Linked DNA regions of Canis lupus familiaris. The protein of the gene in region 7 interacts with the protein of the main gene of each other region in a biochemical or structural test. Links are inferred from orthologs where the notes say so. Each region holds a gene or a part of one and is shown on either strand. Other genes may lie near its edges.

Region 1 (3,871 bases), on a different chromosome or scaffold from region 7:
TGAGGCATCTCTGGGTGATGGCTGGGTTTGGGGTGGGGGTGGGCAAGGAACAGAGACAGGGCTTAGTGCTTCAGAAAGGTGGGAGGAATGTCCCTGTCCATTTAGCCAGTGGCCCTCCAACTGCATACTTGTCCCACAAGTTGTAGTGACCCATCATCCGCTGGTCATAGACCAGCCCTGTGCGAGCCTGCAGCATGGGCCACGTCAGAACTGGGAGCACTGAGGGCTGCCACGGTCTCTCCTCTTCCTTCTCCGCCTTTTCCTCCTCCAGGATGTCCTCCTCCAGGGCCTCAGCTGTAAAGGGAGGCCGTTTACTCTACTCCCCGGACCTCAGATCCCTGTAATGCTCTGGAACTCAGTTTACCCAAACATAAAAGAGGTGAGAGGCCTGAAACCAGGGTCCAAGGCGAGAGAGGGCCTGACGCTCCCCTACCAGGAAAAGTCATGCAGGGTCTGGGAGAGTCTCTCTCAAGGGCTCATTTCATGCTTGACTCCCCACCTAGCCCCCTCCCTGCCTCCTACCTGATCTCACAAGGACCTCCCAGAAGGGCTCCAGGGCTTCCAGGGCGCAGAAGAGTGACGCCTGGGCACTAGAGGGCAGGGGAGGGGAAATGTGATCAGATGGCCAGTGGGCAGGCAGTACGGGTCCCACTTTTCTCCTCCTCCACCCTCCACTAGGGTGCTCACCTTGGGCAGGGGGCACTGGGAGACTCCAGGATGGGGCAAGGGTCTCCCAGAAGGGTGTGGAGTGAGGCGCTGACACCTTCAGCCAGGGCGCGGAGGTTGTAGCCGCCCTGGGAAAGGAGTGTGGGGGGCGGGGATCAGGAAAGAGCCACGCATTATGAAGGAAGAACAGCAGTAATGCTACTAGGGTGCTGACTACACAGCAAGCAACAAGGAAAATGAAGGCTGACTTCCATTTCGTTCACCAAACAGTGCAGGGAGGCAATCACCATAGTTATGATGCCCATTTTGCACAAGGCAAGTGGGGGTACAAGTAAGTTCAGTGACTTAGATGAGGTGGTCCAGCTAGTAAGCAGAAGGGCTGGGACAGACTCCTGCCTAACCTGAAAGCTTTGTTCTAATGTCCTCCTGGATGGATCCATAGACGGGCTGAGACTTGAAGGGAGTCACTCACCTCCAGAGATAGGATCAGCTTGCCTCCTGCCAGACCCATGAGCAGGTGGGTTAGCTGAGCGAACCCTGCCGGAGTGGTGGCCATCTCACCCTGGGTGGGGGTAGGGGGTGTGGGATGTGTGTGGAGGATCAGCCTGGCTCGGTGCAGCCCCCTTCTGCCCACGTACCATCCCAGGCAGCCCACCTTACCTTGGGGTCCCCTTGGAGGGCATCAAATCCAGCGGCCACCAGGACCAGCTGGGGCTGGAACTGAGGGGGAAAGGGACTACATGAGGCCACTTGCCCTCACGGCCCATCCCTCAACATTGTTCCTGTCCCAACACACCCCAGACCCCCAGGACCTCAAGGGCGACTGGCAGAAGGAGGCGCAGGAAAGCAGCAATGTAGTCAGCATCTCGCATCCCCACCTGCAGACAGAGCAGCACAATGGAGACATTCTGCCCTCTGCCCCGAAACGGGCTGAAGGGCAGGGTGGGGCCTGACTTTGGGGGTGTAGGGCGGGCAGACGCTGACCTGGTTCCAAGGCACATTGATGGTATATCCCTGGCCTTGGCCAAAACCTATGGTGGACCAGTTAGAGGCCTTCAGGTGGGGCCAGAACCGACCCTGCTCATAGCGGTGGATGGAGAAATAGAGGACGCTGGAGGCAGGGAGGGGGGAAAAAAGAGGTGGGGGCAGTTGAGAGTCAATGCCCCAGACACCCCAACCCACAGCACCCAGCTGACTTGGCCACTCATTCATTCTCTCATCCATTTCCCCACTAACTCCTTAACTCTCACATCCATTCATTCTATTTAGTCACCAACTTATCCACCCTCCCATTCACGAATGTTCCTGTTTCTCCATCACTTCACTCATTCGTGCACTTTCTCACTGGCAAAAACACAGGTATCCTCTGCCTTTCTTTCTCTGTCTCTCATGAATAAATAAATATAATTTTTTTTAAAAAAAGGACCTCAGGGGGTGATCCCAGCGTCCTGGGATCAAGTCCCACATAAGGCTCCCTGCAGGGAACCTGCTTTTACCTCTGTGTATGTCTCTGCCTCTCTGTCTCCCATGAATAAATAAATAAAATCTTAAAAGAAAAAAAACCCACTTGGTACTCTCCTCAGTGCTAGCTTGGGAGACCCTGACAGTGATGGGATCTAGCCCAGTCCCCAAGGTCTTCTGACCCAGCAGGGGACTCAAAATCATACCAGCCTGCCCCACGGGCCCCCGTGACCAAGGTGGTGATAGCAGGACAGATTCTGTGATGTTTGAGACCCAAGGGAGGCATACGGCTCTTAGCTGGTAGGAGCCAGCTAACGTAGAAAAGAGCAGGCAAGGCTGGAGAGCCTAGTGCTTCCCCTGAAGGATGTGGGGAACCTTGAGGGCTAGGGCTTAGGGGGCATGAAATTTGTTTCTGTATATGTGTGGGGGTGGTGGCTGAGGCTTCCTGAGGCCAGTGAAGGGGCCCTTCCTTCTCTCCAGTACCTTACAGGGCACCTCTACTACTTGTATTTTGTAGGTGAGACACTGAGCACTCAGGGCAGTGAGGACAGAGGATACACCAGAGAGACACAGAACAGACCCTGAAAAGGCACGAAGGTCTATGTTCTGATAGAAAGCCCAGCAGGAGGCTGTAGGAGGGCTTAATTCTGATGAGGGCAATCAAAATGAATAATCTTTCCTCCATCCATCCATCTGTTCACTCCCTGTCTTGTTTAAGAATTTTTTAAAAACTTTTTAAAGATTTTATTTATTTATTCATGACAGACACACAGAGAGGCAGAGACACAGGCAGAGGGAGGAGCAGGCTCCATGCAGGGAGCCCGATGTGGGATCCCGGGTCTCCAGGATCAGGCCCTGGGCTGAAGGCAGTGCTAAACCACTGGGCCACCGGGGCTGCCCCTGTTTAAGAATTTAAGGCAACAGTTTTTATCTTTCTTCAGAGAAATGCAAGGAATAGCGGTAAGCAATGAATCTAAACCAACTTAGTCACATTTTAAAAAGTGCTGATAATGTGGTAGTGAAAATTGATGCAACTGATATAGATTCTTGAAATCCAAGAAAAACACCTTGGAATCGAGCAATGAAACCCATGCAAAAGTTCTGATCTTGAGTAGGTGGGAGATAACTGTTTTACTTTTTTTAAAAGATTTTATTTATTTGACAGAGAGAGAGACAGACAGACAGATTACAAGCAGGGGGAGTGGCAGAGGGAGAAGCAGACTCCCCACCAAGCAGGGAGCCTGACTTGGGGGCTCGATCCCAGGACTCTGGGATCATGACCTGAGCCAAAGGCAGATTGCCTAGCCGACTGAGCCTCCTAGGGGCCCGACTGTTTTACTTTTGACTCTGATAAATATCAGTTCTAAACTTTTTTTTTTAAAGTAAGTTAACCAGTAGAGAAAAAGAAAACCACAGTGGAATATAAAGATGATCATCAGGGGAAGAAAAGAATAAAGAAAATAGTCGAAGAAAGCCAAACTCATGACAGCCACCAGAACCAGCAGAATGAACACCCAAGGAAACAAAGCAAACAGCAGGAGGGTTATTATTTTTTTTTGCTTGCTTGTTTGTTTAAAGATTTATTTATTTTAATTTGGGAGAGAAAGAGTATGAGTGGGGAGAGGGGCAGGGGAGAGGGAGAGAGAGAGAGAGAGAATCTCAAGCAGCATGGAGCCCAACACAGCGCTCTATCCCGGGACCTGACATCATGACCTGAGCTGAAACCAAGAGTTGGATGCTTAAC
Region 2 (4,484 bases), on a different chromosome or scaffold from region 7:
TAAAAATAAAGTCTCCTCGGTGCAGTTGTTCATTAGAACCAGTACACAATTTTCTCCAAATAGTCACTAGAGGGCAGTGTTACTACCAATCTTTTCCCCTAAATCTATTGAAACTAATAGAAAATTACAGAGCAGTGTAAGTCATAAAATGTTTTTCTCTGAGAAAATCTGGCTTCAGCCGTGTGTGTGTGTGTGTGTATGCACACACACTCATATATAGGCATACTACAGCACGATGGGAGGGCTGTTCCTTCTGCTGGCCTTGCACTGCAAAGATATCACCATGGCCCAGAGGCAACACTCACCACTTCCCAGAGGTCACTTTTTGTAATTACCCCAATGTTCAGAGCAATACTGAATAGATCCCTACATTTTCTTATGATTAATTGGAAAAAAATGATGAAAAAAAATCTCTAAACCTGATCCCAGGTAATATTTGCCATGGCTTCTTTTAAATGGTTTTCCCCCTTAAACCTACCTTCTCCTCACATTCGAGAGAAGTTTTTAAAATTAACTATAAGTAGCTGCAATCCATTTCATCAGCTTCTTTTGTCTTTACCTCTGATGGTTGACATATTCTTACAATGAAGACTTATTGATCCATAATACCACATACCTATGGTATACATGAGAATAAGCAGCTATTTTGGGGTGTGTGTTTAGCAACAGAGCTGGAAATTACTTGCCTCCTAGATTGATTCTAATGAATAATCTGGGTCTCTAAATGAACACAGGGAACTGGCAAAGTTCTAACTTAAAACAAGGCGCAAAAATTCTCCACTCGCAAAAAGAAAATAAGATGTAAGGGTAGACTCTAACCCCTCGAGTCTGGGGTTAGGTAGATCGGCTCAGTTTCAACTAAGAGAATTGAACTACCACAGTAGGGGAGACTCCAGGCATACCAATAGAACACATCACCCCGAAGCCTAAGAAAAGCTGTTACTAGCTTGATCAGATGTCTATGGGCTAGAGCCACAAGGAGGATGGGAAAGAGGCTGAGGTCATCCTATGACTGTAGGGTGTCAAGTACTGCAGATGGGTGAAAAAGATGCTTGACTCCAAAGCCTCCAAACTTGTTTTTTTGTTTGTTTTTGTTTTTGTTTTTTCCTGAGGTAAGTTGCTCGAGAACAAAAATACCAAACAAATGGGTCATAAAGAGTCTGGGTGATAGAGTTGGAGTAGTCATTGAACACAGATAAGGTGTCAGACAGTTTGCAAACTGTATCAAAAACAGTTTCAAGGCTCTTTAGGGTAGTGTTCTAACTTGAAAATTAACAGTCACATTTTCACTGGATACTCTATTCCACCAGTCGGTAGGTTAGTACACTTTTGCTAATAGTTTTCAGAAGCTCAAAGATTTGTTTCATTAAAAAAAAAAAAAAAAAATATATATATATATATATATAAACATTAATAGCAAATTACTCATCCTTAACATTATATAAAAATTCACGTTTCCTAATGAGCTGATTGTGAAAAGGGGAAAAATCTCTTTCTTAGTAATCGTATGGAGTTCGGCTTCCCAGGCATCCCCGAAAAGTGGGCTTTAGAACTGGGGTGAACACTTGACTGCCTCCTCCGTGCTGCGTTTTGAATCTCGGTCCACTTTCAAAAGTCATTGTTAAATTCTTAAGAGTCTTCTCAGCAAGTGATTTAAATAAGAGCCTGCTTTCATTTACATACACACACATTTGCACTCCCCAACAACACTTCCTTTGAAAAACAGAATGTCACTTCCTCAATCCAGAGGCCAGAAGTCCCTCCGTTCTGATCTGGGGAGCCAAGACAGGAAACTCTGGTAAGCTTCTGCCTCTCCCCCCACGGACAGCCCCTGGTGCAGCTGACCGAGGGGAGGGGAGGGGAGGGGAGGGCAGGGCAGGGTCTACTCCGAGCTCCCTTGATGCACTGCAGCTGGAAGGCCACAGCTCACTTTCATGCTGTGGGAATGATCCCTGGGAGGCCAGCACCCAGAGTCGCTGGAAACAAGGGCATTTCATAGGAAGTGGAGAGGGCGCCCAGGGGAGACCTTGACACCTTTTACCGACCTTCCACTTCCAAACGTCTGCAAGTAGCCCAGGGCTGATTTGTAATTAGCACCATCTTGTACTTTGACCCCGGGAGGCACCGCCTGGGGAGGGGGTGGTGGTTGGCCAGGCTTCCCACCGGTCCGCTCCGGACGGTACCGGTACCACCTTCCCTCGGACGTCGCCAGTTTCTCCCCCAGAAGGGAGAGGCTGTCCCAGCAATTTCGGTAAACACCGTCGGTTACCACCACCTGGCAACGGAGCGCCTCGATTTCTCCCGACCCCGGGCACCGGAGGCCGCACAAACCCCGGCCGCTTGCACCAGGCCAAAGTGCAGTGTCACCCCCGTGGGGTGGGGTGGGGTGGGGTGGGGTGGGGTGGGGGTGTATGTGAGAGACATACAGAATAAAGGGAAAGACGGGGGACAAACAAATGAGTCACTTAATACAGGCGCTGCACATGCCGCTGACGCTGCCCGTGATGCAGAGGCTGTGCCCTGGGAGGAAGCAGGCGCCCCCGGGAGAGGCGGGCAGAGACAGGGAAGGGGGAAAGGGTGTGAGGCGCCTCGCCCTTTGTGGGGCCGCCCGCGCCCGCGCCCGCGCCCCCTCCCCCTCCCCCTCCCCCGCAGGCCGGGGCCGCCGGGCTTGCTCCGGTCCCCCGGCCCCGGGAACCAACTCTCCCGGGCTCCGAAAACAATCAATGCAAACTTCAACACCCTGTTTAGTTTACGGGGAGGCCGGCTGGGAGGTGCCGCCCGGCGGAGAGGGAGCCGCAGCCTCCACCTGCCCGGCCGCCCGCTCCGCCCCTCGGCCGCGCACCTGTGACAGGTGTGCAGGTGCCCCACGCAGCCCCAGCCCGCAGCCTCCACCTGCCCGGCCGCCGCCCTCCGCCCCCGACAGCCCGGCCCCCGCCCCGCCCCTCCCGGGGCCCCCGGCCCCGACCCCGACCCCGGCCCCGGCCCCCGCGCCCCGGCCCCCCGCGGCCGCGCCCGCTCGCCGCTCGCACTCACGTAGCGCCTCAACTTCTTCTCGGGGGGCGATTTCCTCAGCCAGCCCGTGCACACCACGTCGCCGCCGCCGCTCATGCTGCCGGCCGCCTGGAGCCCGCCGCGGGGTCGGCCGGACAAGGGCGCGGGCGCGGGCCGCTGGGTCAGCCGGCCGGCGGTGCGCAGCTCCGGGGGAGGGGAGGGAGGGAGGGGGAGGGGAGGGGAGGGGGCGCCCGGCGGCCGCGGGGCGAGGACGAGGCGGCGCGGCGCGGGCCCGGCTGCCCCGCGCGCTCCCGCCCGCCCGCCCCGCGCGTCCCCGGCCCCCGCGCGCCCCCACCTGCCCGCCCCGCCCGCCCCGCGCGCCCCCGGCCCGGCCCGGCCCCCCGCGCCCCCCGCCCCGGCCTCGCGCCCCCGCCCGGCCGCCCCGCGCGCCCCCGGCCCCCGCGCCCCCCGCCCCGCGCGCCCCCGCCGCAGCAGGGAGAGGGCGGCGCGCGCTCGCCACGCCCCCGGCCGCCGCGCCCCCCTGCGGGCCGCCCCGGGGACGCCGACGCCGCCGGCCGCTGGGGCCCGCGAGGCCCGGGTGTGCTCCGCCGCAGCCCGCCGCCGGCCGCGCCCCGGGGTCCGGCTTCCCCTCGGCCCCGAGCCCCGCCAGCCGGCGAGGCGCCGCGCCCCGGGGGGCGGGGAGGGGGGCGGGGAGGGAGGGGAGGGGCGGGGAGGGGGCGGGGCTGCGCGCCCTCCGCCGCAGGCCGAGTTTCCCTGGGGGTCGGCAGGCGGGGGACCCCGCGGCCGCTCGCGTCTCCGATCCATCCCGAGTCTCGGGTTTCAGCGGGTCCGGTTCTGGCAGAAACGGGTGCTCCGCTTCCCAGCAAGAGTTTCATGAACTCTCGCACCCCCGGGCGGGAGCAGCAGAGAGCACAGTGTTAGGGGCCCGGCGCCTTCACGCGCCTTGTTCACAGGGGTGTCTCCGCGAAGCTACCAACTGGGCCAGGAGCTGCGCCGGCCGCGGCATCCCCACTCCGCGGAGCCCAGTCAGTCCCAGGGCCTGTGCGACGGCCGGGCGAGCTTCTAGGCCGGGGCCGGGGCCGGGGCCGGGGCCGGGGCCGGGGCAGGGGCAGGGGCCGGGGCCGGGCTTGCTCCTCTGCTATTTAAAGTGGGATAATTGCTTTAGTGTCTACACATCGACGTGGGGGCCTCTTACTACCAGGAATTAAAGTCCAGCTGGCTCCCCGCATTGCCTCTGGGAAAACGAATTCAGGAGAAGAAAATTCGTGTGATGTAAAGAATCGAAGCAAAAATGAGTCCGTGTATTCGTAGCGATTTGGAAGGCAAGGTGGTGCAGAACGAGAAACTACGGCCAAAACTCCCCCGAGTTCCAACTCGCTGACACAGGTTACAAGACTTCTTTGGGGCTCCTACGAAAACTGGAATCCAGCGATACTTCTCTCGCCGCGTTGTGATGCGGTTTAACTGAAATA
Region 3 (3,871 bases), on a different chromosome or scaffold from region 7:
CTAACAATGACATCTGTATTCCAGGTGCCACAGCCCTAGGCATGGCTTACAGTTCCAGGCTGGTCAGTCTGGTTCTCTCTGGTGGCCATGGCATCCTGTAGGAGGGGAGAGCCGGCCTGTGGTTTACTGAAACTGAGGACTGTTCTGGCTCTTGTTTCTCTGAGATGTGACGTTGAACTCTTCTTTCGATGCTGTGAGTTGCCCCAGAATCCTTCCTATAAATTCTTTGTTGATTTCAACAGAAAACTTTCAGCTAATTTTTCTGCTCAAAAACCTTCCTGGATTTCTCCAGAGAACTGGGAAAAAAGCCCAGTTACTTCGACTACTAACTCCAATTTGGGCCAGAGATACAATATCAGCCTGAGACCTCATTTGTCCCAGATATATCCTGCACTCTGGACATACCTGTCTACCTGCTGGTCTCCAAGTACCCCATCTATTCATGACTTCTCCACCTAGAAGGTCCTTCCTGCTTCTGACCGTGTGGCTCAAGCCCCAGATCCTCTTGACCAGAACTCGTCCCTTCTGTCTGAACTCCCGTAGAACTTTACTTTTCCTCTGTCATAACCCAGACTATAAATTGATTATCTCGTGTTCATGCAATAATTTACACATAGAAGTCCTCTCCTCTGCTGCCTATGACCATCAGGGGCCAGGTCCCTTCCTACTCTTATCACCCACAAGCACCTACCACAGGGCATATTTATATACCAGGGTATTCGATATAAGTTGCTGAGTTATCAGCTGCAGAACTTACCCTGGCGAGGTCCAGGTCGGCCTGCTTCCGGTGTCTCCAGAAGGTGACTGAGGAGCGTGAATGTGGCCGGATCACTGGCTCTCCATGGACCAGCAGCTTCACAAAGACGCTCAGGACAATCACACCATTTATCAGCCATAAGAGAAGCGTTGGCATCATCCAATCAAACCAGCCCCCAGAACCTAAAAAGGAAGGTCTCCACTGAGCCCATGAGGAACGGCCTCCTAGAGCAGCCCTAGGGGACTGCAGGGCATCTGACTAACCCCCAGCATTTAACAGGTTAGAAGCCTTCTACCTCATTTTCAGAAGTGTGTGTAACAAGATTGCTTCATTTAGTAACAATGTCTAAATGCTTTCCATAAGAATAAGACATAACCTTAATCCACACAATAGGCAAATCTGGAACAGTTCTGTAGCCTAAATAGGAGCCCCGTAGCCCCTATCACTATGGAACTAGGTACCATAGCTAGATAACAAAGATAGCAAAAATCACCGTCAATCAAGGTGGGTTTGATTAGACCACTGATTTCATGACTCGGACAAAAATATCACATCTCCTTCAAATAGGTACCCTCCCTTCCCTTATCCCCAACCCCTATAATAATAGAAGTGTAGGTTCCTGATTTCTTCTGTTCTTACTGACGGAGCTTGGGTGTGCCCTGTTACTTCCAAATAGGGACTTATGCCAGTCCCTATCAGGCCTGCTACAAAAGCCCTTTGGAACCTGGTGGATAAGCTGAGCAGTTTGTACACATAGGGCCCATCTCCTGTCACAGCTGCCCACCCACGCTTGGGTGGTACAAGGGGTCCTCTGCCTACCTGACTCAAGTGACAGGATGCTGCGGCCAGAGCCGGAATATGGGTGCTGGTCAGAGCTGTGGGCCCCTCCCCACTGCAACAGGGCAGTCAGGGGGTTAAAGGAGAGGCAGAGGAAGGTGAGCACACAGAGCAGAATCCGAGAGCGGTCCACCATGCCCAGCGCCACGGGAGGAGAGTCTGGCTCATCTTTGACCTTCAAAACAGGGCCAAGAGGTTGGAATTAAATACTGCATGGGTTTTTATAGCATTTTGCTTTTATATGAACTGGAGGCAGACCATGAGATTTAAACTTGAGACTACAAAGTCAGACGGGAGGGCAGCCTGGGTGGCTCAGCGGTTTAGCACTCACTGCCTTAGCCCAGGGTGTGATCCTGGAGACCGGGGATCGAGTCCCACATCAGGCTCCCTTCATGGAGCCTGCTTCTCCCTCTCCCTGTGTCTGTGCCTCGTTCTCTCTCTCTCTCTCTCTCTCATGAATAAATAAATCTTAAAAACAAACAAACAAACAAAAAAACCAAAGTCAGACAGGAAAAGCATGGGACACAGGTAAGAAGCCCATAGCTCTCCCTCCGACTGCTTCTCAGACACTGGAACGCTCATCCTCTTGCCACCTGGGAAAAGAATATGTTCCGAAGACCAGAGGGAGAGGAGTCCTGTTTATAAAGGAGAGCACAAAAGAGAACGTTCTGCAGGATTCTGTTTCTGTTTGTTTTTTTTTTTAATAAATGTTCAATATCTTTTTTTTTTTAAGTTTTTAAAAAAATTTTTATGTATTTATGATAGTCACACACACACACACACACACACACACACACACACACACACACACACACACACAGGCAGAGACACAGGCAGAGGGAGAAGCAGGCTTCATGCAGGGAGCCCGACATGGGACTCGATCCTGGGTCTCCAGGATCATGCCCTGGACTGAAGGTAGTGCTAAACTGCTGAGCCACCGGGGCTGCTCTTCTGTTTCTGTTTAATTCCATAACAGGCAAGCTAATCTAATCTAAAGTGACGGCAATCAGAGCAATAGCTGTCTGAGGCTGGAGAGGGGTGTGGGAACTAACTGCCATGGTGTATGAAGGAGCTCTGTGGGTGATGGAAGTGTTCTATATCTTGATTATAGTGATAGTTATATATGTGTATACCCTTGCTTTTCAAAACTCCTCATACTGTATGCCACTACTTCATGCTACTGTAAAATAGGGGTTTTATCTCATGTAAATTAAACACCAACAGACCTGATTAAAGACCATACAACTGGGGTGCCTGAGTGGCTCAGTCAGTTGAGCGTCTGCCTTCAGCTCAGATCATGATCTCAGGGTCCTGGGACTGAGCCCTATGTCAGGCTCCCTGCGCAGTGGGGAGTCGGCTTCTGCCTCTCCCTGCAACTTGCGTGTACTCTACTCTCTCTCATGGTCTCTTCTCTCTCTCTCAAATAAACAAAATTTTTACCAAAAAAGAAACAAAACAAAACAAAACAAAAAACCATACAACTTCAGTATGGATCTATTTACAGGAGTTTGCCTGTGGTAAAACCAGGAGGCTGCTTTTCTTCCCATCCCCGTCCTACAGAGGGAGGACTGGAGAAAGGAGCCCTGTCTGCCCAGGGTGCCCAGAGAGAGAGGCAGGGAGGAAGGCTGGAGCCAGATCTCTCCCAACTTCCAGTGTGCACATACTACACCACTCCTTTTCAGTATTTTAAAGCCATCTGAAAATTTCTTCTGATGACAGATGCCTAGCTAATTCAATGTATACATCATATGGCCTTCTGTTACCAAACAGAATCACATTTACAAAGTATTTCACAAACAGAGCTTCGTCACTAAGATTAAGAACATGATACTATAAACAGTTTGATCAAAAACTCAGGCTAGAAGGGAAGTTTGTGCTTTTGAAGTTAGAAATTGCCAGTGGCCTCCACGGGTTCCCAGGACTACTAGATCATTAGGCTTGAGCCTCTATTGGCTAATTCCATTAAACCACAATTGCCAGGGGCTTTCTTTGACGATGAAAGGCCCTTGGCTGGAATGTTATTTGTTAGACTGGAAACTGTAATCATTTCCAGAAGAGGGCCCAGAGGCAGCCTTGCCCTAAACCAACCGAGCAACATCAAAAAATGGTCTTGCCAGGCCCATTATGAGTGAGGGATGTAATGAGGCGCCTCCGGCAACTCCTAGCACCCGCATGACAGCTGCTGTGTGTTCCCATTCTGGATCTGGCCCTTATTCCTCTCAGATGGGCTCTTTCAGCAAGGACCAGTTAAACTGGACTACACTGAACCAGTTAAGT
Region 4 (4,445 bases), on a different chromosome or scaffold from region 7:
GGATTGAGCCCCATGTCGGGCTCCCTGCTCAGGAGAGTCTGCTTCTCCCTCTCCCTCTGGGATCCCAATGTGGGACTTGATCCCAGGGCCTGGAGGTCATAACCTGAACTGAAGGCAGATGCTTAAGGCAGACATTTAATGGACTGAGCCACCCAGGTGCCCAAGAAAGAGGTTTTTTTGTTTTTTTGTTTTTTTTCTGTCAGGGAGAAAAGGGACCGAACTCTGAGTCTTTTTATTCAGAGAAAAAAAAAAAAAAAAAACAGTGCTTATTATAAGGGAGATAAATGCTAATAATAATGGAGTTTAAGACATCTGAGGGCAGGGCTAGGTTTGGGGGCTGCCCGTTTGCAGGATCATTCAAACTCAAAATGCAACCTAATCATCTTCATGTGAGGCCACCATGAGACTGTCATCCCTAGTATCTCCTTTCTTAGGAACATAAATCTACTTCCCTCAACAGGATGGGGCTCTCTATTCAAGAATATTCCAGTCAATTATCCCTCAAAAAAGCTGCAATTTTTTTTTAGAAATTAAATAAATAAAAAGATTATTCTTGTCATGGGAAATTTCTGGTACTGGCAAGATGTTTAATCAACATCTACCGTGTAAATATAATCATCATGGAACTGAGAACGTGTTCGGGAGGGCTAATTTTTAGTTGACGCTATTTTTAAAAGTTAGAAAAAAGCAAACATAAGAGCATAAAGGAAAATCAGCTGTGACAAGAAGGATAAAAAAGGCCGCTTCTATGTAATGTAAGACATTTATTTTGGTTACAGTTAGTGTTTTAACACTGATTTGTGATACAACAGACATTAAACTTACTTTCCTTTAAAACCAATTTAATACCTTCCGCTTTTCTATCCAGAAAACTCAATGCTTTCACAATCAAATTGCCCTGAAAGCTGACAGGAGATAAGTTAAGCTTTCAACCACTCTGCTCTCTCAAATGGAGAGGGGCTCTATTTCCAAGCAGGATAAAATCTTGACTTGGCGAGACCAGTACTGTTGGCTCTTCAGCGGGTCCTGACACCGGTCTTATGACAAAATCTCCCGAGAGGAAAGCTCCTATCTTCCTATTTTAAGATCAGTGCTTATTTTGATTAAAACATTAGCATCTTAACATTAACTTGTGACACAGAAGGCACCAACATTCCCTTTCAAACCATCACCACGGGTGGAACACAGTGCCACCTGCTGGTCATCATATTACATACCCTATGATTTCCAGGTGGTGGTAAATTCCAGGTGGGGATTCTCCAGAGAACCCTACAGAGCCAAAGGGACCTTAGAGGTCTTCTAGAGGAGTCCCCTTGTTTGACACATGGTGATCTCTGCTCTCCAGATCACTCAGAGTGGCAGGGAAACAGACCAGCCTGTGGAAAGTGTACTGCTTTAGATTTGAGAAGAAAACCATTTGGTGCTCTAATTTCACCTAAGTGGGGGTCTGCTAGTCAAAGAAAGGGATCAGGTCAGGGGAGAGGGTAAGGGCACCCTGAGTTCCTATTCCATCACCTCCCAGGGTGTAGAAAGCTGTCCAGAGACAGCTTCCACTCGCAGCTGGGCATGTGCTGGCTCTTACAATAGAATTTTATTTTACTCAAAAATTAGGAGCTAAATCTCATGAAGTAAATATAGGGTTTCTGGGACCAAAGACTACCAAGAAATCCCAAGTTATCAGCATAAAAGTAGTCCCAAAGTAAAGGCAGTAATTCTCCCAAGCGCCTTTCCTCCCTCTTGCCCCCACAAAAAGGACTTCAAGAGGTCCTGGTTAACTAGTCTAAGTAGCTGTGGCAGCTACCCTGGGGGGTGACCACTGCTTAAGTGTGGGAAGGGGAGCCCTAGCCCTAGGGCTCTTCCAGCAGTAGAACAGAAAGCTCCAACTTAGGGATGTTTCCTGGAGGAAGAGCCACATGTCACCTTCCTACTCACCACAGCCTGGCTGGTTGTACTCCATCCACAAAGTTATCTGGCTTTTGTGCACACGGGCTGGGTCAAGGGCATGTGCAGTGCACCTGGACACTCCCAGGGGCCTCCTTTCTTGAGGAGAGTAGTATGGGACAAGGAATTCAACTTCAGGGAGCAGCAAACTTGGAGCTGGGACAGCCCAGGCACCATGTTTTCAACCAGTTGGAACCCTAGTTTCTTTTTCTTAAAAGGTAACAATACATGAATAAGCTCTACCAACTTGATAGGGTTACTGAAAGGATCAAGTGAGTGTGAATGGGACAGTTCTCTGGGAACTGTGAAGTGAGGTACACAGGTCAGAGGATGGCCATTTCATTGAGGGGGGTGTATGTGGGCAGTCCGGTATCTGGAAGAGACGACAGATCCTAGTTTGTTCGGGGTGGCTGTGGTCACAGAGGCAGGGGAATGTCCAGGCTGTGCACTGCTGACCCTGCGGCAAGAGAGGCTATTACACCTCGGAGGGAGGCCCTGCGGCACCCTGCTTCTCCCTGTCTAGCCAGAAGCCCCTGGTCAACTCTGAAAAAGGCACAATCCCCACCTCAACAGGTTAATACTGCCTGAATTTAAATTTAAAAGTGAATTTTATATACCTAACAGAAGTCCTTGGCTTTTCGCTTCTGGTAAAATCCCTTTTGCAAATCCTTGCAAGTGATCCTACCACGAATTCGGGTTTATGGGAGCTTGATACACCCACCAGAATACCACCCTGCAAATATCTGGTGCTCAAAAGAAGTGTTTTATTCTGGAAACTTTTTTAGACCTCTGCGTGCTAAGAGCTGGGGGTATGGCTGAGGACTACCTCTCCGTCAGGGAACCTGAAGATGATAGGAATGCATCACTTTCCATGGTGACAATCATCTAAAGTCCTAATATGACTGGGTTTCAATCAAAACTCCTACTTTCTGACAAATGTGCGTGCACGTGTGAGCGTGAGTGCTAGTGCATTCTGACATCATCCTTTAAAAGTCCTAAAAAGGGTTGTTCTGGTTTCTTTGCTCTGCCACCAGCCAAGTCTCCATTCGGATGCTCCACTGTGTTTCATTTCTGCCTGGCTGAGTCATTTTTGCTCCCAGGGCTCCCAGATCTTTCCTGGCACGGCAGAGCCAAAAGCACTACCTCTAAGTGGGCGGGGTGAGAGCCTGCTCCTCCATCCTCTGGCTGTGCTTCTGAGACACACACCCCCCTACACACCCACACACCCACATTGGAATTGGCTAACTCCCTCCTTCTGTCCTTGAAATAGCAACGGAGACAAAAAGCAGTTAGCACGAGTGGCTTGAGCTCACCAACGCTATAATTCAGGACAAAACCTTTGCAATTCTTCAAATGGTGGGGTTTTTAAATAGGCTGGAACTTCAACACCCTGTTTTCTAAAAAAATAAAATAAAATAAAACCACGCCTGAGGCATCGCTCTTCTGAGAGCAGTCCAGGGGAAATATTCCAAAGCAGCGAATTCTGAACGCAAGCCTTCCATAGGTTCACATTTTAACAAACCTATGGACTTACAGGAGTCCTCCAGGGGAATGTCTGCCCACCTGACGGCCTCTTTGTTTGGGTCTCTTTAATCCCACTGAAATACTTAAGATGCAGTCTCTTCATGGGAGTTTCCACCCACTAACAACTGCTGGCCGGGGGACCAGCTTCAGACCTCACAATGCGCCTCTGCCTATGAGCAAAGTGTGGGCAGCTGGGAGGAGCCGGGGGAGACAGGCACGGAGGGGAGAGAGGGGCCTGCGTTTGCATAGTTCCCTTACAGGGCTCGAGGTGCTGAGGTCCCCACTCAGGAGGGGACCCCAGGGTGGGGCGTAGGGAGCCAGAGAGGGAGGCAGGGGGGCCACGGACATCAGGAGGGGCCCCACTGGGCATCTCGAGCCTTATCCTTCCACAGACCTCCTGCCTTGGGTCATCCAGGAGGAGCATGTATGTCACAGGCCTTCCCCCTCCGTGCCCCACCTCAGGGAGAAGACATCAGAAACTGTAAGCCCGGGACACACCGGAGAGCAAAATGCCTTCCTTAGCAAGCTTCTTTATACGCTCCCCAGGGGGGAGGTGGCCCAGGGCTGTGTTGGGACAGACTTGTGGGCAAGTGCCTGGTGATGCTGGGAGCAGGGTACACTGTGTTTCCTAAACATGGCGGCTTGGGACACCTCGACCAGGGCCTCCCCTGTCTGCCGCTAGAGAAGAGGCAGCGGGAGTGCCCTAGAGTTTCAATTTCCCCTCCTTGACTAGTTTGTCATTGAGCTGGCATAGCTGGGCCAGGAAACCATCGTTGGGGCCGATCTCACGGTTCTGCCTCACGATGCTCAGGGCAGACTTGACATCCATCTTCTGCCGCATCATGAGGTACGCGATAACTAGGGTTGGGGAGCGGCTGTAACCTTCCCGGCAGTGGACAAGGACCCGGCCTGAAAGAGACAGGGACGAGGGAGCGTGAGCTGGGGCCATCCCAACACAGCCCGACTCGAGTCAGAACTCT
Region 5 (3,871 bases), on a different chromosome or scaffold from region 7:
GAAGACGGGTCTGCATGTTGGGTCAGAGGATGGTCAGAAGACGGGTCTGCATGTTGGAGGTCAGATTGAGACACAGAGTCAGTGGGGGTCGTGGACTGCTGGGAGGAGCTCTCTGTGCTGTTGGCATCTGTTCCAAACACAAGAGTCAAATACATTAACTTCAATCAAAAGCGCCTCCCTGACAAGAGGACGCATCAGGCAGTGCCCACAGCTAGTACTCCACAAATTCTTCCCTTCCTTCCCCCGAGAGAGATACAACATCCTCCTCAAAAGGCCTCAATTTTTGGCAGATATTTTACTTTCTACTTTTATCCCAGGTACCACCAGATATCTGTGCTTCTCTTTCCAGCTCAGCTCTTTTCCGCTCTTCCCCTTCTTTCAGGAAATCTTCTCCCACCCAACTCTAAACATGGTCATCCAGGGACAGCCACATGACTCAAACCTAGCTGATCAGAGCCCGCTCTAGGAATTTCTCCCCTGGGCCATACCCCTTCTGATAGAGGGTAAAATGGGGAACCTATTGCTAGGTTTCTCCCTGAGGTGAGTGGAAGGAGCTGCTCTGAGAATGAGGCTGGTACAGAAAGAAGGAGGAAGAGGACATGGGAGTCACCTCATCTCCTTCCTACAGGCCTTACTGTCCACTGTGGGAAAATAGGTACAAGCCAATAAGTTGCTCTTCTGGCCCAAACTACTTAAAGTCTGGCTTCTAGAGGTACCTGGTGGCTCAGTGGTTGAGCATCTGCCTTTAGCTCAGGTCGCGATCCCAGGGTCCTGGGATGGAGTCCCACACTGGGCCTCCCCACAGGGGAGCCTGCTTCTCCCTCTGCCTAAGTCTCTACCTCTCTTTTCTCTCTCTCTGTCTCTCATGAATAAATAAAGAAAATCCCTTTTTTTAAAAGTTTGGCTTCTGTCACTTGCAGTCAAGAATCCTAACACCCACTGTATAGCTGTTTCCTTATGTGTAAAATGGGGATTAGGTTCTTCTCAATTCACCAGGTTCCCTCTGAAAATGCTTAACATCTGCAAATGGCCACTCCATTGGCAATGCAGTAGATGTCTGCTAGAAGTACTTGCTAAGCATCCCTTTTCTCAATGGATGTGGCAAGTTCCTCCCATAGCCCTACTCGAATTAACACATCTGTTATTCATTCTGCTGAAAGTTCATAAAGCTAAAGGGGCCAGCTCCTCTCTGGGATGCCAGACTCAAAAAGTTCCAACCCCCATTACCGTTCTGAACCCCAATGATCTGACCTGTAAAAGAAGAACATACCCCACCTTCTTCATACAAATGTAGGGTCGCACCAAAATGTGAAGGAAAGCCCTCTCTATAAATTCTAAAATCCTGGACAAATAGAAGAATGATATTTCTTCAAACTATGATGTTACTGAAAGGCAAAGCCAGCAAGGCAGATAAGAAGCACACTTTTGTAAACTCACCTAAGCTACTATTTATAACCGAGGACTCTCTCTGTTCATTCGGGTCTGAGAAAGACAAGGTGAACTTGTTTCGAGTTCCTGGTATCAGGCCTGAGATATTGACCACTGAGTCTTGCGTCAAATCCTTACTACTTCCGATGCTTTCAAGGAGCAGCCGACAGGTGGCAGTGCCATTGGCATTCTTCCAGGTAAGAGTAGCTTGCGTGAAACCCAGGAGGGCAAGATGAAGACCAGAAACTGGACTTGGTTCTATTTTAAAAACACACAATGGGCATTGATGGAATAAGACATTTGCAGTCACTCCTCACAAAGAATGACTGGGGTCACTGATATTTTTCCATATGACCCGTTAAGAATATTTTCTTGATATCAGGGTCCAGTGCAATTTCATCATTTCACAGCAGGAACAAATATATATAGCATTATGGAGAAAAGAAGACACCTAGGAGCCAAAGATTTTGAGGGTCTGTCCCACTCCCCTCAACATTCACTTCAACAGTGATTTGACACTCTTCGAAACAGTTTTCAAAACTGTCAAACAGCAGCATTGAATCATCTTTGTTTTGGGCATTGGGAGCAAAGCTCCACACAAAGTGATAGTTTGCTACTTCTAAAGGTCTCAAGTCAAGATAATACAAATCGTATCATTTCATAGCACCCGGACATTTCAACTGAGGAGCTCATCCCTGTATTCCAACCCCAAAGGGGTTCTTCAGAATGTCTCCCATCTACCCCCCACCACTCTTTTCATCACTTTATTTGGCTGGCTGTGACATAAACCAGACATTTCAGCCAACATGATGTCTGCTCCCTTCATTCTAGAGAGGGCAAGGTAGAAACACAGAGAGGCGGAGTGACTGGCTCAAGAACACACATCACTGGTGGCGTCAGGGAAATCAGAACCCAAGGCTCCAGCTCTGAGCACATGTACCACCAGCAATGTTGGGGATTCAGTAAATCCCTGCCTGAGGTCTGCAGGGCTGAAGTGGAAGGTGTGGCTGGCTCTAAAGCAAGTTAATCCCCTCCTGAAGTCTACTCTTCACATCAAACATCTTGGGCGCCAAGATTTCTAAATGGGATCACTCCTGTGTCCTTTTTCTTTTGGAAAGAAATGTAACACCAAAAAAGTAGTCAGCGAAAGGACCTGGGGTAACCAACTATTGCCAGCTTCAGAGTTGCCTAGTACTCTGAAGCCAGGCCCCCTGGGTTCCTACCACTTCATGCTCAAGAACTGAGCCCTCGAAGAATCCCAACTCCTTGGCATTACAGTTTTTCACTGTGGCCCTTGGGGTTAGTGTGAAGACAGTACAATGTATAAAGAGCAACTGAGCACATAGTATGTGCTCAATAAATAGTAGCTGATGAACAAAGCCTTGTCCCAGGGAGGTAGGTCCTCCCTCAGGTAGAGGGAGGACACTCAGCTCCTGGGAGCTTCTTGCTCCCTCTCCACCTCCACTTTCCTATAGCCACCAATCCTGTGTAACCTGATCTCCATCGCCATTGCTAAAGTCTTCTTTTTCCTCCTTCACTCTCTTTATCTTCTCCCTGCCCTCTCCTCCTGTTCTTCTCTCTTTCATAATATAGCAAGCCTCTATCATAAGAGTTTTGTTTTTGTTTTTGTTTTTGTTTTTTTGCCTCAAAAACTCTTCTCTGAGGAGCTCCAAGAGTTTTTTTGAAGGTACCTATGACACCCACCCCCGTTGCTCCTCTCTCTCCAGTTCTTTTCACTTATTGGGCTTCTGGGCAAGATTTTATTATTTAAAGAAATTGCTAAAAAAAAAAAAAAAAAAGAAATTGCTTCCTGGCTTTAAAAACCTACTGAAAACCCCTGGTTTGGTTTGCTTGTTCCATGTGCAGAAGGTGCTATGCTAGGCAGGTGGTCACTTCAAACCATGGGCTCCAGGAGGTCAAGCTTCTGTGGCCCTCACCAGCCAAAAAATTACATCTCCAGATCAGAAAAGCAACAGAGGATCTCGTTTATAAATTTTTGCTTCTTTTCGATTTAAAAAGAGCTTCCCGTCTTTTCTTTATATTTTTAGTTCTTTCCAGCTTAAAGAAAGAGAGAGAAAGCTAAATTTGCAGCTATAACACGTGGCTAAGGGTACTGACATCTAAGCTAAATAAAAATTTCAACCTTACCAAATGTCACAGGGCTATTACTTCATTTGAAACACACACTCCTCAAAAAGTATACCAAACTTTCAGGCCCAGAAAGAATTCCTGAGAATATAAACCAGCATCAACTTTCCTGCAGAGGTTAAGAGAAGCCTACTAAGTACTGACACCATCAAGAACATGTCTAATGAAAAAAAAAAAAAAAAAAGAACATGTCTAATGAGGTCTCTGTTCCCAAGCCTTAAGAGAAAAGTAAATATTAGCCAATAATAGCCAAGGATTTTTAAGACTGTCTGTTGGGGGCAGCCCCGGTGGCTCA
Region 6 (4,612 bases), on a different chromosome or scaffold from region 7:
TGCTGTTATCTCCCAGTACCTAAAATTGCCTGGCATAGAGTAGGGATTCAATCAATTTCTTTGAATCAGTGCAGCCCAGATGGTGGCCAGGCATCTCTGCATAGGAGCAGGTCAAGTAGTAACATGTCCTACCACCTGCCATGTGGAAATCATCCAGGACATAGGCAGTTCTTGAAGTGATGAGGAAAAATCATCTTCATGAGCCTAAGTGTGGCCCACTCGGCCCTTTCTTGTTTCTTTTCTCCAGGCTCAGCGACAGCCTCACCAAGGACTCCATGAATATCAAGGCCCATATCCACATGTTGCTAGAGGTGAGAGTACCTCACCCCATTCCCAGACTCTGTCTCCAAATGTATTCAGGGTGGTGTGACCCGACGAAGGGAGAGAGCCAGGGATGGGAAGGACCATTTTCCTCTCTAAGCAGGAACCAGGCTGGCTCTGAGGGAGGGGAGGTCAGAGCAAGCCTGGGCTGAGGCCTAGACAATCTCTGTTCAATCTCTTCTATCCTTTTTTTCAGGGGCTTAGAGAACTACAAGGCCTGCAGAATTTCCCGGAGACACCTCACTATTGACTTCTTCCCGCCTCCGTAGACATTAAAGAGCCTGAATGCCTTTGAGTCACATGGCCCTTCTTTCCCCACCTCAACCCTTTGCTGTTTGCTAAGGTGCCCTGTTTCTAAAGCACAAAGTTACCAGGAACCCCAGAGAGCCAGTCTCTATGTGGAACCTTTAAAGCACCCCTGAAGTCCCGCCTCCAGCCTGTTGCCTGGCAGCATTTGCCACTTGACTTTCTGCACTGCCCTCTTTTCTGTCGCCTTGGAAACCTGGGCCTCCCACCTGACCCTTTTATCTTCCTGGACGTAACTGTCTTAATCATAGAGAATGGGCTGATTCAGGGTGGAGGTTTGTTCCCAAGACAATCAGCCTTTCATTCCTGGCCCTAAAGTTTGCCCCTCTCCCCCACCCTAATCATTACTGGGGTACCTTAGATTACACCCACGCCCGTCTCATTCCAACCTTGGCCTCACCCGGCTTCTAACTAATTTCAGCTTCCACCAATGGGCGCAGAGCCTGATCCCGCCCTACCCCGGCCGGCCCCTATTTTAGGTTGAGTCTAGCTTCCGCCAATCATTGCAGAGCCAGGTTCCGCCCCCTTATAACTGGCTGAGGCTCAACGCTGACCTCCTCGTAGGCTTTAGTTTCCGCCACTCAACGCTCCTTTGCGTGCCTGGCCGCTGTCCAACCCTATCTCTGCTCTGTCCTAAACTCGTCTTTTCTACCCAATCACGATAGAGTTATCCTCCCACCTACGCACAGTCCTGGCCCGACCCCCTCCCAGCCTGCCGCTACGCCCACTTCCATATAAGTCCCGCTTCCGCTGAGCAGCGTGGAGTGCAGCACCGCCCAGTTGGTGTTTTGGCAGCTGTCTGGAGTCCCTAGTCCGCCAATCAGTAGAAAGCAGAGTCCATCCGCCCCTATCCTCGGAGGCCGTCTTCCATGCAGGCCAATTATTATCAGGCAGGCGCCCCCAGAATCTTGTCAATCGCCCACAGGCTGTCAGCCTTGGGCCAATCAGCGTGAAGCGCCAGCGGGGCCCAGCACGCCCCCTCGGAACCCAGGCGGCTATCTGCGTTCCATCAGTTCTCCTCGGGCCAATCATGGCCTAGCTCTGCGGGGCAGGGCCCGCCTCCCCAACCCTGGAAGCCGCGCGGTCGAGCCAAGGCGCTGTGTCCAATCAACCAGCCGCGGAATGCTCGGCTCCTCCTCCAGGGGCCCACGTGAGCCGTGAGGAAACGCAGGGGCGGCTTCTAGGTGCCGCCGCCGCCGCCGCCGCCACCGCCGCCACCGCCGCCACCGCCACCTCGGAGCCCGGGCCTGGGGGGCGGTGGGGCTGCGCATGGAGCCCCCGCCCCCCGGAGCTGCCAATACTGCCACTGCGCTACACACAGGTGAGCCCGGGGCCTGGAGGGTGGAGGGCCCGTCCGTGACCCCACGTATCCTTCCCGCCCCCGCGCGAGGGATGTGGCTTGGCCCATGGCCTGCTGGTGTTCAACTGCCCACCGCCACCGCCACGGCTGGTGGACCTGCCTGTGGTATTGTCCCCTCCCTTCGCCCCTTGTAGTCGATCTGACCGTGGCCTGACCCCCCTTCCTGTTTTATAATGGATCGGTCTGCGTGCTTATAGTTCTCCCCACCCCACCTTACAGTGGACTCGTCCGTGGTCCTGCCCCGCCCCCACCCCCACTTAGAGGGGAGCAGCCTCGGGCATTGTCCCTCCTTGACAGAAGGTGCATCTGACTGTTTATTTTCTCCTGTCCTCAACTTTCAAGGGCCCCGTCTGTGGCCTTGTAGTTCTGTTCCTTGTAGTGAATCAGTCCATGGCGTGTTGCACCCCCCCCGCACCCCCTTTAACAGTGAGTTAATCTGTGAAGTTGTATTCCTGCCTCCTCCAGTCCCCCAGTGCATCAGTCCCATGGTTTTATCTTTTACAGTGTATCGGTCTGAATGCTAGTATCCACATCCCTTGTCGTTATCAGCCCATTGCCCTAGCCTCTTTTTTTTTTTTTTTTTTCAGACTGTTTCTCCAGCCCTTGGGCTTCTCTCTTCCTTTTAATAGTGGGTCAGTTTCGTGTTTTTGAACTCCCCATTTTCAGTAGCTCATTCCATGGCCTTGTTCCCTTCTCCTTTTAATGAGTCCGTGTGATGGCATTTCACCCCATCTACTCTTGTGCAGAGTAGATGCCTTTCTGCTCCCCTTGCCCCCCATAAAGAAGATGAGCCTTTGCACTCCCCTCCACCCCCGCCTTTGCAGTGGATCTGTTCATTGGCCTTCTTGTTCCCCATGTGCTTGCATCCAGGCACACACCCCCATACCCTCCCCTGAGTCCAGTGCTTTGTAATCTCTTCTCCAGGAGGGTGCTTTTATTTTGTCCCTCCTTTCCTTGTGGTGGATCAGTCCATGGCCTTCCCTGCTTCCTCTCTTCTTAATGGTGGATCATCCTGTGTGCTTGTTGAACCTGGCTCTTTTTTACTCTAGAACACATCCCCCTCGTACACATCATTAATCCCTAAGACATTCTGCCTCACTGCAATAAACGGATGCATTCAAGATAGCGATAATGCCATTAGGAGCTAACGTTTATTGAGCACCTACTAGGTACCTGGCAAAGTGCTTTATATCCATGACCTCATTTCGTCCTCACCACAATCCTGTGAGACAGGTACTCAGGAAAGTTCGGCACAAGGGGCTCAATACGTTATTCAGAGGTAAGTACCCAGTTAGGTTGCCCCTCAGAACACAGAATAATTTTTGAGGATCCCCTTTCTCACTTCATCCCATGCCACATGAGACCCCACTCCTTAAAAAACAAAGCACCTCCCGTCTCCAAGCTTTTGTTTTTGCTAGTTTCCCCCCCGCCTGCAGAGCTGTCTCCATTCCACACTTTTTCTCAGCACCCATCCACCCGCAATCGCAGCAGCCATATGATCTGAGTGATTTAACCACTTTCTCTCCGCACCTGCTTCCTCATTTGTAAAATGGAGGCATCAAAACCAGAATCCCCTCCAGTGTGAACATATCTGAGAGTTAATAAGACAAGTAACCTCTCTGGCTGCACCTCCTGCACCTTGTCCCTCCGACTCTGTTCCAGCCATACAAAGCTCCTCACTCATCCTCAAATCAAACACGCCAGATACAGCCCAGCCTGAGGGCCTGTGCATTGGCTATATTTTCTACCTGGAATAACGTCGTTCCCCTGATCTGTATGTGAGTCCTTTCAGAGCTCTATTCAAATGTCAGCCTGCCCCTGATCATCTGAACCTACATACTTAACAGGACTCAGGTTCCTTCTCTGCAGTAGTGGTCCCCTTTGCCCTTCATCACTATCAGACACACTGTGTAGTTTACCAGTTCACTGTCCCTCCCCATTAGAACAGTCAGTCCAATGAGGGTTTAGTTTTTTTGTCTGCTTATTTACTGCTGGGTAAATATACTTAGTATATACTAGGTGCTCAATAAGAATTTGTTGCATGCATGAAGGTGAAAAATATTATTTCAGACAAATCAGGGTGCAAGGGGAGGGAAGGGTTGGAGATGAAGAGGGTATACGAAAACTAGCTAAAGAAACTAGTTGGGACTGTTCGTTCAGCAAACACTTAGCACCTACTGAGTACCAGGCACTCTTCTAGGTGCTGGGGATATGGGAAGGAACAGAACAGGCAGAAATTCCTGCCCTTGTGGAGCAGACGTTTGCTAAAAGTGGGGGAGACGGACTATATAAATAAAACAGTAAGTAAAATTAGATAGTATGTTAGGCGCTAAGGAGGAAAGTGAAGTCGGGAAGACAGGGAGAGAGTACGGGAGTGATTGAAATCTTGGGCACTGGGCAGGCCTCACTTAGAAGGTGACCCTTGAGTTAAGGCCTGAAGGAGATCAGGGAGGAAGACAAAATATCTAGGGGAAGAGTGTTCTGGAGGTGGAAGGAACAGCCAGTGCAAAGGCCCTGAGGTGGGACTGTGCCTAGTGCATTCAAGAAACGTGAAGGAGGCCAGTGTGGCTGGAGCAGAGCAGAGGGCGGGAGGGAGGCAGGCAGGCAGGCAGGCAAGCAAGCAGG
Region 7 (4,564 bases):
AAACCCCCACTCCACTGCTCATTGGCCTCATGACCTCAACCCATCTGCACCTCCATTTCCTCATGTGGAAAGCAGGGGAGAGAGAGTGGCTCTTTGGAAAGCAGTTATGAAGACTCAGTGAGGTGACCCATGGAAACCAGCCGGCCCAGTCCAGAGCCTAGCATGTTGTAAGTGCTCAGCAAACATGAACTAGTGTTGCTATGATAAATGCCTAAGCCACATGGCTGTTGAGAGGGTTAAATGAGATAGTGTGAACACCATCTGGCATGCAATAAATGTTTGCTTAAAAATAAATGCCTGCCTTATGGGGAATGGTTTGGGCAAGACAAATGAGGAGAAACTCCCAACAGCATGCTCCTCCTCAAAGAGTGCCTGGCCATACATCAGAAGATGGAAGAGTAAATGTCCTTTGGTATTTTAAGAGAAAACAAAGATTAAACATACGTTAAGTAAATAAATAAATAAATAAATAAATGCCATTTGGTTGCTCTCTGAAAGAATAAGTCAGGGCTGTCTTTTAGAATCAGCCTTGAAAGAGCCTTCTGAAGACACCTGGGCCGATTATGCTGTTTGAGAGGTGAGGAGGCCCAGCAAGATGCAGTGACTTGCTTAAGGTCACACAGCAAGCTAGTGGCGAGTGTGGAGATTTCCTGCCCACAGCTTGTGGTGGGGGCTGCAGACAGTGCAGCACAAATCCCCACATTTGGGTGGAGAACTGGGACTGGCTGGGGGTGGGTAGGGTGGGGAGAGGTGATGGGTGCTATAAGCTGCTAACAACAGGGCCTGACAGGAAGTGGACGACAAGCTAGGGAAGCAATGTGGGGGGGGGAGGGCAACAAAGACAAGGCTGTCCCTCCCTGGGCGAAGTGCAAGTCCACAGGTGACTGGGGTGAGGCTCTGAGCAGGAAATGTCAGAGAAAGGACAGTTCTCATCTGGGGGAGGTTAGGAGGCAGCAACAGCAGCACCTGATTTGGGGCTTTCTGAGCCTCAGTTTTCTCATCTTTGAAATGGAGCTGATGAGACCCATCTCATACAGCAGCTGGGAGGTAGAATAAGAAGTGTCAAAGCATTTGGCGTGCACTGCACCTCACTCATAGTAGGCCCTTCAGAACGGGCAGTTTTCTTCCTTCCTGCCTTCCTTCCAGTCTGCAGACCCAGAGAGGAAAGAATCATCATCTGTTAAACAAGAACTGTCTGTGGGCAGAGGCTGGGTCACGTCACAGAAATGCAGATGTCAAAAGACAAAGCTCCCATAGAGCCCAACTCTCACCCTCCCCCCAAATGAGGCACAGCATGGAGCACAGACTTGCCCAAGGCCACACAGCCTGGTTACAGCAGGCCAGGATTCACCTCAGGCCTCCCAGTCCTCTTACACTCTGTGGTCTCTTTTCTGCTGGAAAGTTTCATTTGCTGGGTTTGTTTTGGAGTGTGGCAGGAAAGAAGGAAACAGAAAGAAAGCCAACGTTCTCCCAGCCCGGCTCTGAGGCTATGCCTAGCCAGCCATCTGGCCAAGGTGAAGGATACACATCCCTCATGGCGTCCAGGGTGGGCGCCCGCAGAATGTCCCGAATGCCAATGACGTTCTCATGGCGGAAGCGCAGCAAGATCTGGATCTCCCTCAGTGTGCGCTGGCAGTAGGTCTGATGCTCAAAGGGGCTGATTTTCTTGATGGCCACGCGAACCTTGCGCACGTGGTCGTAAGCTGAGCTGAGAGGGTCAGAGAGATGTTGTTGGTGTGGCCTTACATAGGGGGAGTCCAGGCCTGGTGGCCCTACCCAGGCCTGAGCAGGGAGGGGAGGGAGCATGAGAGGACTCTGGCCAAGTCATAAACAATGCTGGTTCCTTCCTGCTGTGAAGGCCTGGGATCTCCAGGGAGAAAGCTGGGGACCAGCCAGGCAGCCCTTCGGTGACTTCACAAACAGAGGAAGAGACTGACCGTTCACTGACTTCCCCTCTCCTCAGCCCTGTCCATTCTAGTTGCCCTGACCTCTCATCCTCCCCTCTCCAGGCTGGGCTCCTTCAACCCAAGACAGGTCCAGGGAGTGGGAGGTGAGTGCAGGACGCACAGTGAGGCACAGTGAGAAGGAGGCGGTCAGGAGGGATGGGAAAGAAGGGATGAGGTGTTAGGGTCAGGCACCTGGGCAGGAGAGCTGTTCCCAGATGAACAAAGGCCCAGAGCACACAGTGGGGACGAGAGAGCTAACAGACCCCTTCTAAAAGTTGCAAGAACGCACCCCTGGACCCCTCATGGGTCACCGGGCTCCTGGCCCCAGGCCCAAAGCCCTGCCCCACCCTGCCCAGCCCTGAGCTCTGCTCTCCCCAGCTCCTTGGCAGGCCTCACTGGGAGAATCCAAGGCATCCTTTCCCCAGAGTAGGGTCCTTCACTCGGTCCTCACTGATATCACCTCCCCAAGAATACTTCGTGTCTCCGCCTCCTCCCGCGTCCACAGAGTCCCCAGGGTCCCCCCACGGCTCCCCCGCGGACACTCCGATGCCCCTCCCTTCACTACAGAATGGTCGCTCCTGAGGCCTCCCAAGCCCCCTCCCCTTAGAACGTAGGCGGCGCCGCTCCCCCAGAGCACCCCAGGGCCGCGCCGTGGGACGCCCCGCCGGCCTCGTGAAGCCCCCGCCTCCTCGGGACCCTGGGAGCGCCCCGGCCCGAGGGCACTCACCCTCGCGCGCGCCCCCCCACGAGCCCCCTCCTCCGGAACGCCCCCTCACCTGACCATGCCGTACGCGCCCTCGCCGATGTAGTGCAGCTCCGTGTAGCGCGGGCCCACGTCGAACGGCTGCCCCTTCACCACCTCCACCTCCCCCGAGACCCCCGGGCCGACCCCATCGGCTCCCCGGGGCTCCCCGCCCCCGCCCCCCTGAGCCGCCGCCGCCGCCGCCATCTCCACTCCTCCCCTCCCGCCTCCCCGCCTCCCCCCGGCGGCCCCGCCCGAGGCCCCGCCCCTTCCCGCCCGCCCCGCGCCCCGCGCCCCGCGCCCCGCCGCCGGCTGAGCCGCGTGCGCCAGGCCCCGCCCCCGCGCGCCCCCGCGCGCCCCCGCGCGCCCCACGTGACCCCCGCGCGCTCCCGGGCGCCCTCGGCTGCTGCCCGGGTCCCCGGTGCCCGGCCGCTCCGTCTGCTGCTGGCAGCCCGTAGGGACGAGCGCGGCGGCCGGGAGACGGTGCACCCCTCCCGCCGAATGCAGGCTATAGCCGGCAGGGCCGCCAGGTGACCTTCCCGGAGCCACCCAGCAAGCGGGTGCGGGAGCTGGGGCCGGGACCGAGTCGCCTGGCCCCGCCAGCTCTGCTGCCAACCGAGTCGCGGCCCGGGGCTCGAGATGGAGCCCCAAGGGGGCCCTCCCCAGCCCTCTGGAGTGTGGCCTCCGAGCGAGGCTCGGCCCGACGACACACGGCCGCATCCGCATTTCCCAGTAGCGTGGGAGATGGCTTCTTCGCAGATACGGCCTGCCTTTCACAGATGAGGGGCCGAGGCTGGTGACTTGGAGCCACCGAGAACCCGCAGGTCCAGACTCAGCCTAATGGGTTTCTGACAGGCCTGCGAGAGTGGACTAGGGGCTTGGCCTCTTGCCAGCGACAGTACAGTGCTGGAAGTGAGCACCCATAACCTCAGCCCATTTAGGTGGAACTGCAACAGAAGGGCGGGAAAGCTGCCTGCAGTGTTGACCAGGTTTGGTTAAAATACACTATCAGGCTTCTCTCAAAAAACAGCAAAATAGGTGACGATTTTGTTGTCATTGGACTTGGTGAAACTGGAATCCTGGCAGGATCACCATCTTTTGATGGGATGCAAGATTTTGTAGTTTACACCATACTTGGACCAGCTGGGTTTCTTCCATAGGACAACCGCACATTATAGGTGTCCTCCGATTTTCTTAACAGGATGAGCAGGGGCCATGTCTGTCTTGCTCATTACTGTATCCTCCCCTGTACCTGACGCTCAGACGTTCAAAGATTTTTGACTGGATAAATCAAATTGTATGGATGGGGAGTTGAGACTTAAAATGATATCTTTTGACACAGAGGCAGAGGCTCTTTTCAATTCCATTCAATCTCCCAGAATCAGAGCCTGTTAAAACCCAGGAAAGGGCCCTCCGAGGCCATCCAGTCCATTCCCCTCACTTCACAGAGAAGCTGTGAGCTGGACGCTTCACAAAACACATCTCCTAGCCTTCAGTAAGTAACCACGTTGGGTTTTGTTTGTTTGTTTGTTTTATAATCCCTTAGAAGCTAAGAGTAGATCCTTATGTGCATTACAGATCAAGAGACCAAATGGAACAGTAATTATGATTCTGAAATTGCTCATAATTAGATCTACAGCCAGGCACTCTAATTCAGATTAATGAGACTGAGTAGCTGGTTCCCAATAGCCTACAAGTCAGTGAAGGTTTAAGAGATGCTAATTAGATCAATGTTTCAGGGTAGGTTTGTTTGTTTGTTTTGTTTTTAATTATTCATTTGATAAGCAATTGAATTGCACTGTGTGCAAAACTCCTAGCTAGGTAGGCACTGTGGCTAATGAAAGATTACTATATAGTTGTGAACTAGTGGGTAAGA

Evidence for each region.
Region 1: the proteins of MAPK3 (region 7) and HDAC6 form a complex in vitro, tested with the Homo sapiens proteins (2 studies listed by BioGRID, with this or other methods). The link is inferred for Canis lupus familiaris from reciprocal best matches to the Homo sapiens genes MAPK3 and HDAC6.
Region 2: of the proteins of MAPK3 (region 7) and GAB2, one has a biochemical effect on the other in vitro, tested with the Homo sapiens proteins (2 studies listed by BioGRID). The link is inferred for Canis lupus familiaris from reciprocal best matches to the Homo sapiens genes MAPK3 and GAB2.
Region 3: of the proteins of MAPK3 (region 7) and SREBF2, one has a biochemical effect on the other in vitro, tested with the Homo sapiens proteins (2 studies listed by BioGRID). The link is inferred for Canis lupus familiaris from reciprocal best matches to the Homo sapiens genes MAPK3 and SREBF2.
Region 4: of the proteins of MAPK3 (region 7) and DUSP3, one has a biochemical effect on the other in vitro, tested with the Homo sapiens proteins (2 studies listed by BioGRID and IntAct). The link is inferred for Canis lupus familiaris from reciprocal best matches to the Homo sapiens genes MAPK3 and DUSP3.
Region 5: of the proteins of MAPK3 (region 7) and PTPRJ, one has a biochemical effect on the other in vitro, tested with the Homo sapiens proteins (2 studies listed by IntAct, with this or other methods). The link is inferred for Canis lupus familiaris from reciprocal best matches to the Homo sapiens genes MAPK3 and PTPRJ.
Region 6: of the proteins of MAPK3 (region 7) and ELK1, one has a biochemical effect on the other in vitro, tested with the Homo sapiens proteins (6 studies listed by BioGRID and IntAct, with this or other methods). The link is inferred for Canis lupus familiaris from reciprocal best matches to the Homo sapiens genes MAPK3 and ELK1.

What each region holds. Positions count from the first base shown.
Region 1 is NC_049260.1:42,219,261-42,223,131, reverse strand, and holds part of HDAC6 (histone deacetylase 6), read right to left. Parts: intron 1,778-3,871; coding exon 1,651-1,777; intron 1,545-1,650; coding exon 1,479-1,544; intron 1,387-1,478; coding exon 1,327-1,386; intron 1,229-1,326; coding exon 1,139-1,228; intron 795-1,138; coding exon 688-794; intron 591-687; coding exon 523-590; intron 295-522; coding exon 129-294; intron 22-128; coding exon 1-21.
Region 2 is NC_049242.1:20,532,529-20,537,012, reverse strand, and holds the start of GAB2 (GRB2-associated-binding protein 2), read right to left. Parts: upstream 3,172-4,484; 5' UTR 3,109-3,171; coding exon 3,034-3,108; intron 2,377-3,033; exon of another isoform or gene 2,046-2,376; intron 1,799-2,045; exon of another isoform or gene 1-1,798. UniProt on the Homo sapiens protein: Adapter protein which acts downstream of several membrane receptors including cytokine, antigen, hormone, cell matrix and growth factor receptors to regulate multiple signaling pathways.
Region 3 is NC_049231.1:24,434,186-24,438,056, forward strand, and holds part of SREBF2 (sterol regulatory element-binding protein 2), read right to left. Parts: intron 1,770-3,871; coding exon 1,577-1,769; intron 940-1,576; coding exon 758-939; intron 1-757.
Region 4 is NC_049230.1:19,403,208-19,407,652, reverse strand, and holds the end of DUSP3 (dual specificity protein phosphatase 3), read right to left. Parts: intron 4,375-4,445; coding exon 4,169-4,374; 3' UTR 745-4,168; downstream 1-744. UniProt on the Homo sapiens protein: Shows activity both for tyrosine-protein phosphate and serine-protein phosphate, but displays a strong preference toward phosphotyrosines. Specifically dephosphorylates and inactivates ERK1 and ERK2.
Region 5 is NC_049239.1:42,054,442-42,058,312, forward strand, and holds part of PTPRJ (receptor-type tyrosine-protein phosphatase eta), read right to left. Parts: intron 1,687-3,871; coding exon 1,438-1,686; intron 128-1,437; coding exon 1-127. UniProt on the Homo sapiens protein: Tyrosine phosphatase which dephosphorylates or contributes to the dephosphorylation of CTNND1, FLT3, PDGFRB, MET, KDR, LYN, SRC, MAPK1, MAPK3, EGFR, TJP1, OCLN, PIK3R1 and PIK3R2. Plays a role in cell adhesion, migration, proliferation and differentiation.
Region 6 is NC_049260.1:41,470,242-41,474,853, reverse strand, and holds the start of ELK1 (ETS domain-containing protein Elk-1), read left to right. Parts: upstream 1-1,798; 5' UTR 1,799-1,948; intron 1,949-4,612. Other genes in the region: protein UXT, read left to right, coding at 248-311, 518-571. UniProt on the Homo sapiens protein: Transcription factor that binds to purine-rich DNA sequences. Forms a ternary complex with SRF and the ETS and SRF motifs of the serum response element (SRE) on the promoter region of immediate early genes such as FOS and IER2.
Region 7 is NC_049227.1:18,278,694-18,283,257, forward strand, and holds the start of MAPK3 (mitogen-activated protein kinase 3), read right to left. Parts: upstream 2,910-4,564; 5' UTR 2,896-2,909; coding exon 2,723-2,895; intron 1,709-2,722; coding exon 1,526-1,708; intron 1-1,525.